4 linked regions of the Sus scrofa genome follow. The protein of the gene in region 2 purifies or fractionates together with the protein of the main gene of each other region. This does not show direct contact. Links are inferred from orthologs where the notes say so. Each region holds a gene or a part of one and is shown on either strand. Other genes may lie near its edges.

Region 1 (3,500 bases), on a different chromosome or scaffold from region 2:
AATCAGACTAGGTGCGGACATAGTAGTCCCAGGTCTTTGCTGAAACAAGGCTGTTATTCTGTCTATCCTGAACTCTCTCTGGCCGTTGATTTTTTTGTGTGCCTGCTCTCCGGTGGAGCAGGTCCCCGTAGGGCCCCCGTCCTGGGAATTGAGAACACAAGCACTCGGGTGCGTGAACACAGATCTCTCGGGTAGAAGGTCATCTTAGCGAACAGACCAGGCGCTGTTTCGGTGTTTGGAGCAGGAGGGTCAGTTGAGTTAGTTTTCGTTTTCATGGTGCCGTCCTCTGCCTGATGTGTGCCAGCAGAGTTGAGGGCGCTGGGCATGTGGCAGTGAGCAAAACAGTGCTTGCTCTTGGGCTGCGGAGTCGGGGGAAAGCAGGTGGGATCTGGGTTACAGACACAGGTCAAGGGCCTCTCTAAGGAGACCTCGGGGAAGTGAGAGCAGCGTGTCTGGGCGAGGAGTGTTCCAGGCTGCCAGGGGGTGTGGGCAGCGTGTACGGAGGAGGCCCTGAGGCCGGGGTCAGCAAGCCGGAGGGCTTGGGGAGCTGGCAGAGGGTTATAAGCAAAAGGTGGTTTTCTGGGCTACAGGGTGGCCGACGTGCCCAAGAGGAAAAGGTGACAGGAACTAAGATGCCGAGGGTGTGCGTGGATCACGTTGATAGATGTGCGGGTGGCTGGGAGTGGTGACAGGGATTCTGAGGAACCCAGAGAGGAACACTGGGGGCTGCAGGAGCGGGAGGGGCCTCTGCTAGTGTGAGCATGTGGCAGGAAAAGAGCCATTTGTGAGAATGCCAGGGCATGTGTGTGTTTCAGGGGACAGCTAGTGTTCACGGCAAGGATATAAAGGAGATGTCTTCCAGAAGGAGTTCAGTAACGCACCGATTCCAGAGGTGCAGGGGTAGAGCGCCCGGTGTGGTGAGAAGAGACAGGTGAAATGCTGGTTGTGGGATACGGTGTGGTTACGGCAGCTGATCCCTGCGGGAGGGGTTGACGGTTCTGATCACTGACGCCTTCCTGGGACAAGTCACTTAGCCACTTGTTGAGGTGGGGGGGTTTCTTAACAGAAGCAGGATCGTCCCGTCTGCCCCATAATTAGTCTGTATCTTGATAGCCACAGGGGCAAAGTGGGAAAAGCAAGTTGCAGGAAGATGTGTCATAAAGTGGAGGGTTTGTAAGCATGCATATGGATCAGCTGCTTCATGGGGGTTTGTGCCGGGACAGAGCTGCCGGCTTTGGTTTCTCAGCTCCCAGTTGTGGGGGCGGGTTGCCCTGCTGTCCTGTGTTGCTTCACTGGCATTGAGCGTGAATTACTACTGTTCAAAGCTTTGCTTACAAATGACATGATTCCAAAGTTCCCTGTGGCTCAGCCGGTTAAGGATCCCACGTTGTGGCTGTAGTGGCTAAGGTCACTGCTGTGGCGCAGGTTCAATCCCTGGTCTGGGAACTTCCACGTGCTACGGTGCGTGTCCAAAAAAAATAAATAAATGAGGTGATTCCCCTTGATACATACATGTTCATTGTTTAGAGTTTGGAGCAGACAGGAAGACATTTATTTTCTTTGTCATGGTCTTCTTTGTGCTTTATTTTTTCCTTGTGGGTTCATTCATTTGTTGGATTACACAGTGTTTGACGTGTGATAATAAATCCATCTGTGCCCTGCTGCCATCGTGTGTGAGATGGCAGGAGATGAGGCCAGTGCTGTGTTTTGTTTGAATGCACCCATCTTACACATTGTTATGTTTCTCACCTGTTTTCAGTGTTTTCCTACATTAGAGGACAAAGAATACTGTGTTTTTAACATGGTGATGTATCTTTTCCCAGATTAAGGAAACTGGCGCTAACCTAGCTATCTGCCAATGGGGATTTGACGATGAAGCAAATCATTTACTTCTTCAGAATAACTTGCCTGCGGTTCGTTGGGTTGGAGGCCCTGAAATCGAGGTAGGAAGCTCCCTGTGCAGAGTGGGACGGGGTCGAGCTTAGGATGCACATGCATTTGAGGCGCTGTGCCCGTGCTGGCCGTCAGGCACCACCTTGTGCCACGGCTCTACTGTTTTATATGTCTTTGGTGGTTTGTGGCATTTTGAAATGCTTTCCTGTGTCGCCTCAGTGGCTGTCTGAGGCAGGAAGACTGGTTGACCACTTCTGGGTCAGCCAGATAAATACTAAGAGCCACTCCAGACACGGTCTGTACCCCCAGCCCACGGGGGTTCAGGCGTGTGTGGCCCGATTCAGAGGTGCGGTCAGCTGTGTGCTCTGTGCTGGAACCCTGGAACCTGACCAGGGCCAGGCCCATCTCTTCAAAACCTTGACCCTTCAACAAGGCTTTGGGGCTGGACTTTGATTTGGGTGGGCCAGCAGTTCTGGTGAACAGTGACCGTGGGTCCGGTTGGGCTCTTTTACGAGCTGGTTTTGAGAGGCCCGGCTCAGCAGCCGACTTCCTCCCCTGCCCACGGTCAGTTGATCGCCATCGCCACCGGGGGGCGCATCGTGCCGCGGTTCTCGGAGCTCACGCCGGAGAAGCTGGGCTTCGCGGGGCTGGTGAAGGAGATCTCGTTCGGGACGACCAAGGACAAGATGCTGGTCATCGAGCAGTGTAAGAACTCCAGAGCCGTCACCATCTTCATCAGAGGAGGAAACAAGATGGTGAGAACTCAGCTCTGTCCTTTGCTGGTGCTGAAACGTGGTTTGGCTTTTGGCACACGGAGTTAACTGAGGCAGTTTCCGTAAGAAAGAAAAGGTCGTCTTTTTTGGAGAAGCAGTGACATGACCTGTCGTCAGACCCCTGGAGACTGTCCCACTTTCAGGTGTATGAGGGACACTTCCTTTCTTCAGTCCCTCAAGCAGAAACGGGAACCCAATCCCTAACCGTTGGCGCTGTCTCCGTGCTCCAGGCGTGGACGCCAGTGCGTCGTGGTGAATGAGGCTCATTGTGAGGCTCTCTTTACCAGTTTTATTTTGCCCGGCCCCTTGACTTGGTCGTGAGTCCTGGAAATGAGTCCCTGGCTGCCTCTCCCTGTTGTTAAAACAACTGCATCCTAGGAAAAGTAAGATGAAGGTGGGAACCATCCGAGGGTGGGCAGTATTCCGGCGGTGTTCCCTCCGTTTGTTCTTAGCCAGGCGCCCTCCCGGGGCCGGGCCGGGCCGTTTCCAGGACCAGCAAGCGCTGAGGTTAAACCAGGTGCACAGTATTGGGCTCTGAATGATGAGATCACAGTCACATTGACCGCCACGAAACCGTTTCCCCAGATCATCGAGGAGGCCAAGCGATCCCTTCATGACGCTCTGTGTGTCATCCGGAACCTCATCCGCGACAACCGCGTGGTCTACGGCGGCGGCGCTGCTGAGATCGCCTGCGCCCTGGCGGTCAGCCAGGAGGCAGACAAGGTGAAGCGCGGGGACCGCGGCGGGCGAGGCGGGGCGCTGGGCTCCAGGTGCTCCATCCCGGTTGGTTCTCCTGCCCGTGTGGGAACATAAAGTGCGGCGGCACCTTCTGCA
Region 2 (3,500 bases):
GATCAGACCCAAGCTATAGTGGCAACCTATGCCACAGCTGTCGAAATGCTGGATCCTTTAACTCACTATGCCATGCAGGTTATAAAACATGCATCCTGGTGCTGCAGAAATGCTGGTATTCCCACTTTGCCACAGGGGGAACTCCTTGAGGTTTTATTCTAGTGGGCATCTAGCCATAAGACATGCTATAATGGCAAACTCATCAGAAAAATACACGGCATGTTCTCATTAATATATTAATAAATCATATAATTTAAAATATATTAACATAACATAAAATCCCTAACATCTTCCTCAAGTTTACTTAAAAAGCAAATCAAGGAGTTCCCTTCGTGGCGCAACAGAAATGAATCTGACTAGGAACCATGAGGTTGCATGTTCGATCCCTGGCCTTGCTGAGTGGGTTAAGGATCCAGCATTGCTGTGAGCTGTGGTGTAGGTCCCAGACACGGCTCGGATGCTGAGTTGTTGTGACTCTGGTGTAGGCCGGTGGCTACAGCTCCGATTGACCCCTAGCCTGGGAACCTCCATATGCCAAAGGAGTGGCCCTAGAAAAGACGAAAAAATAAATAAATAAAAAAGCAAATCAAGCATCAAAATACAGAACATACCTCCATCACGAGCTGATGAGCTCTGGACACCAACGTGAGGCCATTGGCATGATTAAATGTCTCGGAAATATCTTGCCCAAAAGTGTAACCAGCTCCTCGAGGAGATATACCCCAACCTCCACGGTCATCTGGATCTGACCACAGCAAGTCACACATTGGACCCTAAAAAGCAAGTTAAGTTTTAGACCACCTCTTGCAAACCTGGTTAAATACATGATCTGAGTAATTCATCAGAAGCTGCGCCCTCCTAAGTCACACTTTCTGAATGATGTTTGCTGAAAACGGTAAAAGGATTTGCAGACTGCGTCAAATATTTGGGTCAAGTAAATAAGAAACTATTTTCAAATGTTTTTAACAGGCACAGCCTACATCAATAAGTCCCAAGAGCAACAAGCCCATACTAATTAATCTGCCTTTAGGATGCAAATTTCAATGTTAGGCAGTAGAGTTTAGAAATTAAGACAGAAGCTGTAAAGACAACCACCACCTAGGTCCTAAACCCAATCGCAAAGCAACCGTGATCTCAGCAGTTTTCTTAATGTTAGCGTCGGAAGAATGAGGTCAACAAGAATGCTCACACCACATGGGATCGTTTTTGAGAATTAAACAAGAAAATACTTGTAATTAAGTCACAATTAAACATTTCCTCTAATGTTTCTTGAAAAGAAAGCATCAATACCTCATGGGGAACTTCTTGCAGGCGATCAAGTGCTCTGATGTGATCCAGTGTATCTATGGATGGTGAGAGGCCACCATGTAGACAGAAGATCTGAAAAGAGTGGTTTACAATGTTACCCTCATCTAAAATAAACCGTAAACATTCTGGACTAAGCTGCAGGCAGCAGACCACATCACTTGGCCCAACTGGTGTTTCGGCATTCTGCCAGAACTAGAACTAGGCTTATTTCTGCAGGGTCTTTTTTTCTTCCACCCCATTTCACTTTAATGTTTTTATTTTTATTCCCCATCTTTTTGCCTTTTCTAGGGCCGCACCGAGGCATGTGGAGGTTCCCAGATTAGGGGTCTAATCGGAGCTGTAGATGCCGGCCTACACCACAGCCACATCTTCGACCTACGCCACAGCTCATGGCAACGCCGGATACTTAACCCACTGAACAAGGCCAGGGATCGAACCCTCAACCTCATGGATCCTAGTTGGATTCGTTAACCACTGCGCTATGATGGGAACTCCATCCCACTTTAAACTATGGAATACACTCCCATTCTTCCTGAACTATTCCTACTGCACCCAAACTTAAACCAACTCTTTTAAGAAAAAACATTTCTCTGATTTTACCTTCATCATAGACTATTATCTTCCTCTCCACAGAATTTCCTGGGAATTTTTTGGTGCATTTCTCAAGATCCGTAAATGGCTAATTACATCCCTCACCCTGACCCCCACGCCGACATGTCCACAAACAGCTGAAGAGAATGGATGGGCTACATCTTCCACCCCTGTGGTCCCAACATACAGTTCAGTGCCTGACATAAAGAAGGCACGTCAAAAAAAGCCCCAAAGGGAAGTGAGGATGGAAAAATGACTTATTGCCACCTAAATGCTAAGAAAGCATATTCTAGAAAATAATCAGCAGTAAGGTTTTTTTTGTTTTTTTTTTTTTGGGGGGGGGGGTCTTTTTGCCATTTCTTGGGCCGCTCCCATGGCATATGGAGGTTCCCAGGTTAGGGGTTGAATCGGAGCTGTAGCCACCAGCCTACACTACAGCCACAGCAATGCGAGATCCGAGCCGCGTCTGCAACCTACACCACAGCTCACGGCCACACCAGATCCTTAACCAACTGTGCAAGGCCAGGGACCGAACCTGAAACCTCATGGTTCTTAGTTGGATTCGTTAACCACTGTGCCACGAAAGGAACCCCAGCAATAAGTTTTAAGAAGACCTACATACCTGCCCATCCACTAATGCAGTGAGAGGAAGATAATCAAAAAGATCTGTAAAATATTTCCAAACATTTGCATTTCCATATTTCCTTAAACACTCATCATAGAAACCATATACTTGTGTGATCTGTCTGCTCTCATGATTTCCTCGAAGAATGGTGATGCGTTCACGGTAACGAACCTGAAATGACAAAGAGGAAAACAACATAAACAACTGGATCCTTCGAAAACCAAATGACAACCCAATAAGCTTTCTACGGGAAAATACAGTTTCAGTTATGTTCAAAAACACCCCACCCTGCCCTCAAACACAAACACACCCACCCACCCTCCATATCACACAGAACTGAACAGATATTCATCCCATGGGGTATCTGCCAATCCCATCCATGTCAATTAAAATCAAATTTCACCAACTTTATGCCAAGCATAATCATCGGCTGCACAACTCCATCCATGAGTTTTGTTATAGTTACACAACAACCATCGCATTCCCGTTTTAGAACTTTTCCATTAACCCAGAAAGATCCTGCATGCCTGCTGGCAATCACTCCTGACTCCCACGCAGTAACCACTGATAGTGTCTCTTGAGATTTGCTTTCTCTAGAAATGGAATCATACAATATGTAGTTTTTTGGTGTGTAACTGGCTTCCTATATTTAGTAGAATATTTCTGAGACTCATCTCTGTATGGATCAGTGATCTGTCTCTTTTTATTACTGCACAGTATTCCACTGTGTGGCAATACTAGATATATAACATGTACGTATGTTTTTTGTTGTTTTTTTCCCCCACCAGTAGGCTGAACATCTGGGTTGCCTGCAGTTTGGGGCTATTATGAATAACGTTGCCGTGATCATACTTCATGCAAAAAGTCTCTGTATGCTCTATGCTTTCATTTTTCTTTGTTCTAATCTCTCCAACAAACTAACGCATCGTGTAACAAACCTAACTGATAAAAGCCATTCTAATGGGTCTGATTTTGA
Region 3 (3,500 bases), on a different chromosome or scaffold from region 2:
GCTCTTCTGAGCAAAGTCCAGTGGTATTTTCCTTGCCACACTCAGCATTTATTTCTAGTCTTGATCCTTCGATCATTCCTTGTGTTTCTGTCAGAGATGCTTCTTTAACTTGCTGTTCACCAAGAGTATAATTTAAAGACACATTTACTCCCCTCAACATCCTTACATTTGGTTCATGATCCGCAACAGACTCCACCTCATGGTCACAAGAGTCTGGACATACTTCTAGATCACAATCTTTTAATGATCTGCATACTTTCTCTTCACATGATTTTTCAGCATTGAAAGATTCTGCTGTAGAGGAAGTGGCCTCCTGGTGATCTGAATCCTGGTTGATCATTTCCATAACCATGGTGGTCAGCTCTCCTGTCTGGGGCAATGGGCTCCTTGAAGGCTCACATGACATCGGTCCATCTCGCCTGGCGCCACCAGTAAGTGTGCTAGAAGCTGTGGCATCCAGAATGCCTTCTGGGGGCTTGTTACTACAGACTGGGGGGAACACGTCCACCATACCATCTGTGGATGCCTCACAACCAGGAATCCTTTTTAAGGCCCCCTTCTTTGCGATTCCACCAGACACGCAGCTATTACTGCCGGGACTGACTGGAAGATCCTTCTGGGGGTGGCTCCCCTCTCTGGTAGGCTCTGTGACCGTCTCTCTCTGGTCACGACCTAGGGTTTCCCTAGCTGGGCTGTCCTCACCTCTGCATTCATCTGGTCTGTGTGGATTGCCCTGGCAGTCGAGGGCTCCATCTGCCTTCTGCTCAAGAGTGTCAGCTGTTGGGTTCATGATTTTAACATTGGAGAACCTAAGAGTAGGAAACTGGTCCAACAATTTTTCAGGACTTGGAATGTTGGAAGGTTGGTTTGGTTCTTGTATGGCCCAGTCAGAAATGTTATGTTTACAAAACATAGCCTCTTTGGGTATATCCTGTTCTTTTTCTTCTAGCCCTTTCTCACTGGGCTGGATGGTGGGGATGGTTTTGTTTGAAGCTTCGCTATTTAACATGCCTGCAGTCATTTCATTTCTGGTCTTACTTCCTGGAAGGCTGCCTTTGGTTCCTCCCCCATCCGGTTCACCTTCCAACAAGGTACAGCTCACTTTATGGGGTACAGAGCCTTCTTTCCCTTGGGGGTGGTGGTCACTATACTGAAATACATTTTCATACATGGTTGTTAGCAAGTTCTCAACTCCCACCAGGGCTGTGCTGGACTCCAGGACATAGGCAGAACACATCTCATCAGGGACGTGCTTTCTTACACAAAGGCAACTAGAGAGAGCCTGAGATTGAGCACTTTGACATTCCACAGCAGATCCCTCTTGAGGCAAGCCTACTGCTTCATTCTCATTTGAGAGCAGTCTGGAAGATAGATTTGTAGCTCTGGAATCAGCTGTTTTGCTTTTTCTTTCCAGGCTTCCTGGTATGCCATTTAAGGTGGAATTGTTTGAAGAGGTACCACAGGTTTGGTCACCTGGTGGAGAGATGTCTTTCATTTTTGTCTTCCCAGGAATGGTCTGGGTACCAGCAGTGACATCTGCGCAATCCTCTAATGGAGCACGCTGACTCTGTTGGCAGCCCTTGCTCACTGCTACAGGCATCTCTTTGTCAGTTGGCAACTTCGTGTGGTTTGGAGAATTAAGGAACACTTGATTTAAAAGACATTCACTTCCCATTTTGGTACAAAGAAGTTCATTCACCTCCCAGGCAGTGCTCTGTTTATCTAATTGTGAACTATCATCCTGGGAGTTCCGTAGAGCCATTTCTGACTCAGATCTGTTATCACATTCTAGGGATGGCGGTGATAGAGCAATGTCTTTCTCAGGTTTTGACACCTCATTTGTAGAACTCATCTGGTCCTCTGGTGTTAGACTCATAGGGGATTTTCTTTCAATCTGAAATCCATTATGGGATGCTTCGTTTGACTGGGTGCTGCCTTCCAGGTTTCTCTGGGTGCTGATGGAGTGACAGTCTTTACTATAAATTTTTTCTCTTAACACATGGGGCTCTGCAGTGGCTGTGTGTTCTGGCTCTTCGATCTGTATCAAAGAGGAAGAATGGCTCTCTTCAGGGCCTGTGCCTGGATGGCTCATGTTACTAAAAGTTCCTCCTTGGTCCTCTTGGTTTGCCAAGCTACCGTGAATGTCTAAAGTCATTTTAAGATCATTTTTTTTAGACATTACTTCTGTGGCCTCAGTGAAAGAATTAGGCATTAAAGAATTAGAGGAGTCTTTATGGACACTGCCTAAAGGGCAGCAGTTATCATGGATATTGCCTTTGGGGAAGTTAACAGTCTCTTTTTTTCCTAAACAGTGACTGCTAGCATCCTCTTCCAGTTGCTTGGCATTAACAAGAAAGAGTTCCTCTCTTTCACTCCTGGGGCTCAAAGGCTGTTCATTTTCTTCTCTAGAAGCCACATTCTTGCTTTGATCATCCCCATTAAAACAGGACTTGTCTGTCTTTTCAGCAGATCCCTTTGGCAAGCTGTCGCCTTCTAAATCACACTTGTCTGAAGATTCTGTTCTGGATTCTGGACCAGACAAACTTGACGTGAAATGTGAAACTTCGGGATTTTCTTCTAAGGGTTCTAAAATAACCACACTTTTCGTGGTTTTGGGACTGCCATGGACAGAACTGTATCTCTCGTTATGGTGGCCAAGATTCTGTTGGTGATTGTCATCTGCTTCACAGACAAGATTTAATCTACACAACTCTTCCTTCCCATGGTCCACTGTGGAAATGGCAATATTTCCTGGTAATAATGGCAACCAAGAAGGACAGGTTTTTAATTCTTCACATTCTTTTTCTGTAGGAGTTGCTTCCATTAATCCAGGGTCCACAAAGTTTAAAGGTTCTAAAGAAATCTCAGCACTGGTCATGATTTTGTCTGCTTCAGGGCAGCTGCTGCACCCATCCGAGAGACCTTTACTCACATGGCTGTTGTTGTGTCCTTCACTATTATTCATCTTAGGCCCACTGACCTTCATACCTTGAACTTCTTCCGTGGATTTCAGCAGAGTGCCAGTTGAAATTTGTACATTTCCTTCTGCACAAGAGAAATAAATCCAAATCAGTACGTAAGCATTAAAACAAACCCTTTGCTCTACCTTCATAAATTCAATCATGCAACAAACAGAAGTAACAAGAAACAATAAGAAAACCAACTCAAGGAGGGAATTGCCATGTTGGTGGTATAAGACCATTGGCTTGTTCTTTTCTGCAAAATACGACAGAGGGCCAAGAAAGTACCTGGAAGAAACAGGTTATTTTGAACAAATGCTTTTCTTTAAATGTCACCTTTTTTTTTTGTTTTTTTAGCCCAGGTGTGCAATGGCTTGATGTGGGATCTTAGTTCCCAGACCAGGGACCAAACCTAGGCTGCAGCAGGGAAACATTGAGTCCTAACTACTAGACCACCAGGGGACTCTCTAAATGTAGCTTTCTTAAATGCACTTACTTAGCTGGATAAATGAATATAATGAGAAGACATATGCCTAATTC
Region 4 (3,500 bases), on a different chromosome or scaffold from region 2:
GTTTATGCAAAATAATAGCAATTTCTAAGCCATAGAATTGCCTGGCAAATTTTATTCTTTTTATGTGTATTCTATAATTTCTACAGATGTGGGCATTACTTCTGTATCATAGCAACTACAAAGGAGGCGCTCGCTCCAGAACAGGACCACACATATTCTATCTCTAAAGGGCTGGCAGGCCCAGGCCAGTAACAGCTCTAACGCGTGGGACAAATTAACCCATTTTCTGTTTCTGTTTAGGTCCACCTCCCTCACCACCTCACTGCACAGAGGCACCTCTGCCCTCTCTAAGGTGCATTTTACTCAACTGCCAATATAGATCATGACAAGGCCTGCTTCATAAGGCTAGAATGGGGCAGATAAGAATACATAGGAGGGGCTTAGGCAGCACCTGTTGCACAGTGAGCTGAACACACTGTCAGCTACTTTCAACGTCCACCTCATCATCGCCAAGTTCCCTCAATGATCCCTACCTCCACCCTCCTCACCACCACCGTCTTTATTCCAGTGATCCCCACCACCATCCTCCTCACTGTCACCATTTCCTTGAACACCACCATCCTCCTCACCACCACCGCCATCACCCTCAACACCACCTCCTCTGTTCTCTCCGATGCTGAGCATGCACAGAGGGAACTTGATAAAAGACAAAGGGAGCTGTTGAGAACAACCTCAACACGTGTCAGGAAAATAAAAGCTGCAAACGGGGAAAGTTATTCCCCCTGGGGTCTGCAGACGCATCTTCTTCAGAGTCCCTCTTACTTTAACAATTGGGGTTCTAAGATGTGCCCATGGGGCAAACACAGTCACAAAGTCAGAGTTACTTCTGACCTCACAGGGGCCGTGACTGCGAACTGTAATTTTACATATTTTCATTACTAACACCATGTAGTAATAGCATTTTACTTATTTATTTCCTTATTTATTTTTGGCCGCATCCATGGAATACAGAAGTTCCCAGGCCAGGAGTTCCTGTCGTGGTGCAGTGGTTAAACGAATCCGACTAGGAACCATGAGGTTGCGGGTTCGATTCCTGCCCTTGCTCAGTGGGTTAAGGATCCGGCGTTACCGTGAGTGTGGTGTAGGTTGCAGACGCGGCTCAAATCCTGCGTTGCTGTGGCCGGTGGCTACAGCTCCGATTAGACCCCTAGCCTGGGAACCTCCATATGCCGTGGGAGCGGCTCAAGAAAAGGGAAAAAGACCAAAAAAAAAAAAAAAAAAAAGTTCCCAGGTGAAAGATGAAACCAGTACTACAGCTGTAACCAGAGCCATAGCAGTGACAACACTGGATTCTTAACCCGATGAGCCACAAGGGAACTCCAGTAATAGCATTTTAATAGGTACTTACATCTTCAGGTGTTTTATCATATTTATTCCTTGGGTTTTTTACAATCAAAGGGTGTGAGGAAAGCACATTGACCACATCTGCATTCCCAAACTTGCAAGCAAAATGCAATGGTGTGTCGTAGCCCTGAGAGAGATGCAAAGGAAGAACATTTATTTCTTAAATATACTTTTTCGTCTCATAAGGTTGTTTTAAGACTAAAAAAAGCCCAATCAAACAAAACTCCTCAAAAATAAAAGACCATAAAAAGACAATGTTTTTATAACTAAAATGTAACTGGCACACTAGCACACACCCCAGCACAGCACCTCACTTACTGTGTATCTCGTGCCCTGGGGAGCTTACAACAGAGCTGAGGTGACACCTGCTCAGCAAAGAGTGGCTTCAACAATGCAGAGCCCAGGACAATGTCTTAAAACCAATGCTCAAGAAGCAAAATAAACAGATGAAGGAAACATCCAAAATGAAGCAAAGGCCATGAATTGGTCTGTACCTAAAACTCTCTTTACTGGCTCATCCTCCAGTAAATGAAACTTGCCCCTCCTGATTTCTTGGTATTTTTCGATGTTGACCCGCCCCTGCTGGTACCCTCCGCATGCCAGCTCCCCACAGCTGCTGCCACAGGCTTGGATGCAGAATGTCCAAAACAGAGCCCACTCATGGTTACCAGAGCATGGCCTGCAAGCCACATGCAGCTACTGCAGTCCCAGCTTCAGCACCACCCCTCCCTCAAGCCACCCTGGCTGCGTCCCTCTGCTTCTCACCCAGGCTGTCTGCACTCAACACCCCCAGCTCCAGTCCAGTCCCCTCCACTGGGCGGCCCCAGGGAGCTCAGCTCCTTCGCTATGCCACATACCCTCTAGGGCCATCTCATCCCCTCAGACAACTTATGTGTCTGACGACACTACCGCTTGCTCTGCTCACTCTCCCGCACAACCTGTCCCCTGTCCAGGGTTGGTGAGCTTACTCAGTTCAGGGAGCATGGTAAACACCTGGGGTTTCGCAAGCCATCTAGCTCTGCCTCAGTCATCCTACTCCACTCTTCTCTGTAGCTGTGCACAGAGAATGAGCAGAGTTGTGTTCCAATAAAGTTCCCTCTCTTTTTTTTTCCTTTTTAGGGCCACATCTAAAGAATATGGAAGTTCTAGGCTAGGGGTTGAATCAGAGCTGTAGCTGCTGGCCTAAGCACTTACCCTTATTCATTCAGTTTGTTCACACTTAGTCTGATACGCTGATTTTGCCCCTTCTATCCTATTTCATGCTTACTATTACTTTTATATAACTGCTGATTCCTCTTTAGGCCCACTCTAATTTTGCTAAATTTAGTAGTTATTCTTGCTTTCCAATTCCGCAGTTCAATGTACCATATGCACTATGTGTTACAAAATAATATATTACAACCCTAATTTTTTTTTTTTGGCCCTGCCCGTGGCACATAGATCAAACCCATGCACCACAGCAGCAGTGACCTGAGCCACAGCACTGACAACACCAGGTCCTTAACCTACTGAGCCACCAGGGAGCTCCTCCAATATGCTTTTCATTTATTTATTTTTTTTGGTCTTTCTAGGGCTGCACCCTAGGCATATGGAAGTTCCCAGGCTAGGGGTCGAATTGGAGCTGCAGCTGCCAGCCTATACCACAGCTCATGGCAATCCCAAATCCTTAACCCACTGAACAAGGCCAGAGTCCTCATGGATACTAGTCAGATTCATTTCTACTGAGCCACCATGGGAACTGCTCCAATATGCTTTTTATTTTTTATTTTATTTTATTTTTTGTCTTTTTGCCTTTCTGGGGCAGCTCCCACGGCATATGGAGGTTCCCAGACTAGGGGTCTAATCGGAGCTGTACCTGCCAGCCTACACCAGAGCCACAGCAACGTGGGATTTGAGCCGTGACTACAACCTACACCATAGCTCACGGCAACACCGGATCCTTAACCCACTGAGCAAGGCCAGGGATCGAACCCACAACCTCATGGTTCCTAGTTGGATTCGTTAACCACTGCGCCACAACAGGAACTCCTCCAATATGCTTTTTAAATTCCCTTTCCTGCCAACCACAACTTTTCCAACACCTAGTACAATTCTTGGTTCTCAGCCATGCCTAGGTTTTCCCTTTAGGCACCATTAACCCCCCCCCCTCACTGAAC

The links. The genes of interacting proteins can lie anywhere in the genome.
Region 1: the proteins of PPP2CA (region 2) and CCT5 purify together in Homo sapiens (affinity purification with mass spectrometry; 4 studies listed by BioGRID and IntAct, with this or other methods). This does not show direct contact. The link is inferred for Sus scrofa from reciprocal best matches to the Homo sapiens genes PPP2CA and CCT5.
Region 3: the proteins of PPP2CA (region 2) and PRR14L purify together in Homo sapiens (affinity purification with mass spectrometry; 3 studies listed by BioGRID and IntAct, with this or other methods). This does not show direct contact. The link is inferred for Sus scrofa from reciprocal best matches to the Homo sapiens genes PPP2CA and PRR14L.
Region 4: the proteins of PPP2CA (region 2) and ANKLE2 purify together in Homo sapiens (affinity purification with mass spectrometry; 4 studies listed by BioGRID and IntAct, with this or other methods). This does not show direct contact. The link is inferred for Sus scrofa from reciprocal best matches to the Homo sapiens genes PPP2CA and ANKLE2.

Annotation. Positions count from the first base shown.
Region 1 is NC_010458.4:72,213,203-72,216,702, reverse strand, and holds part of CCT5 (T-complex protein 1 subunit epsilon), read left to right. Parts: intron 1-1,823; coding exon 1,824-1,943; intron 1,944-2,462; coding exon 2,463-2,648; intron 2,649-3,251; coding exon 3,252-3,389; intron 3,390-3,500. UniProt on the Homo sapiens protein: Component of the chaperonin-containing T-complex (TRiC), a molecular chaperone complex that assists the folding of actin, tubulin and other proteins upon ATP hydrolysis.
Region 2 is NC_010444.4:136,502,131-136,505,630, forward strand, and holds part of PPP2CA (serine/threonine-protein phosphatase 2A catalytic subunit alpha isoform), read right to left. Parts: intron 2,696-3,500; coding exon 2,522-2,695; intron 1,381-2,521; coding exon 1,291-1,380; intron 774-1,290; coding exon 612-773; intron 1-611. UniProt on the Homo sapiens protein: Catalytic subunit of protein phosphatase 2A (PP2A), a serine/threonine phosphatase involved in the regulation of a wide variety of enzymes, signal transduction pathways, and cellular events.
Region 3 is NC_010456.5:48,380,241-48,383,740, forward strand, and holds part of PRR14L (protein PRR14L), read right to left. Parts: intron 3,046-3,500; coding exon 1-3,045.
Region 4 is NC_010456.5:22,759,135-22,762,634, reverse strand, and holds part of ANKLE2 (ankyrin repeat and LEM domain-containing protein 2), read right to left. Parts: intron 1,472-3,500; coding exon 1,349-1,471; intron 1-1,348. UniProt on the Homo sapiens protein: Involved in mitotic nuclear envelope reassembly by promoting dephosphorylation of BAF/BANF1 during mitotic exit.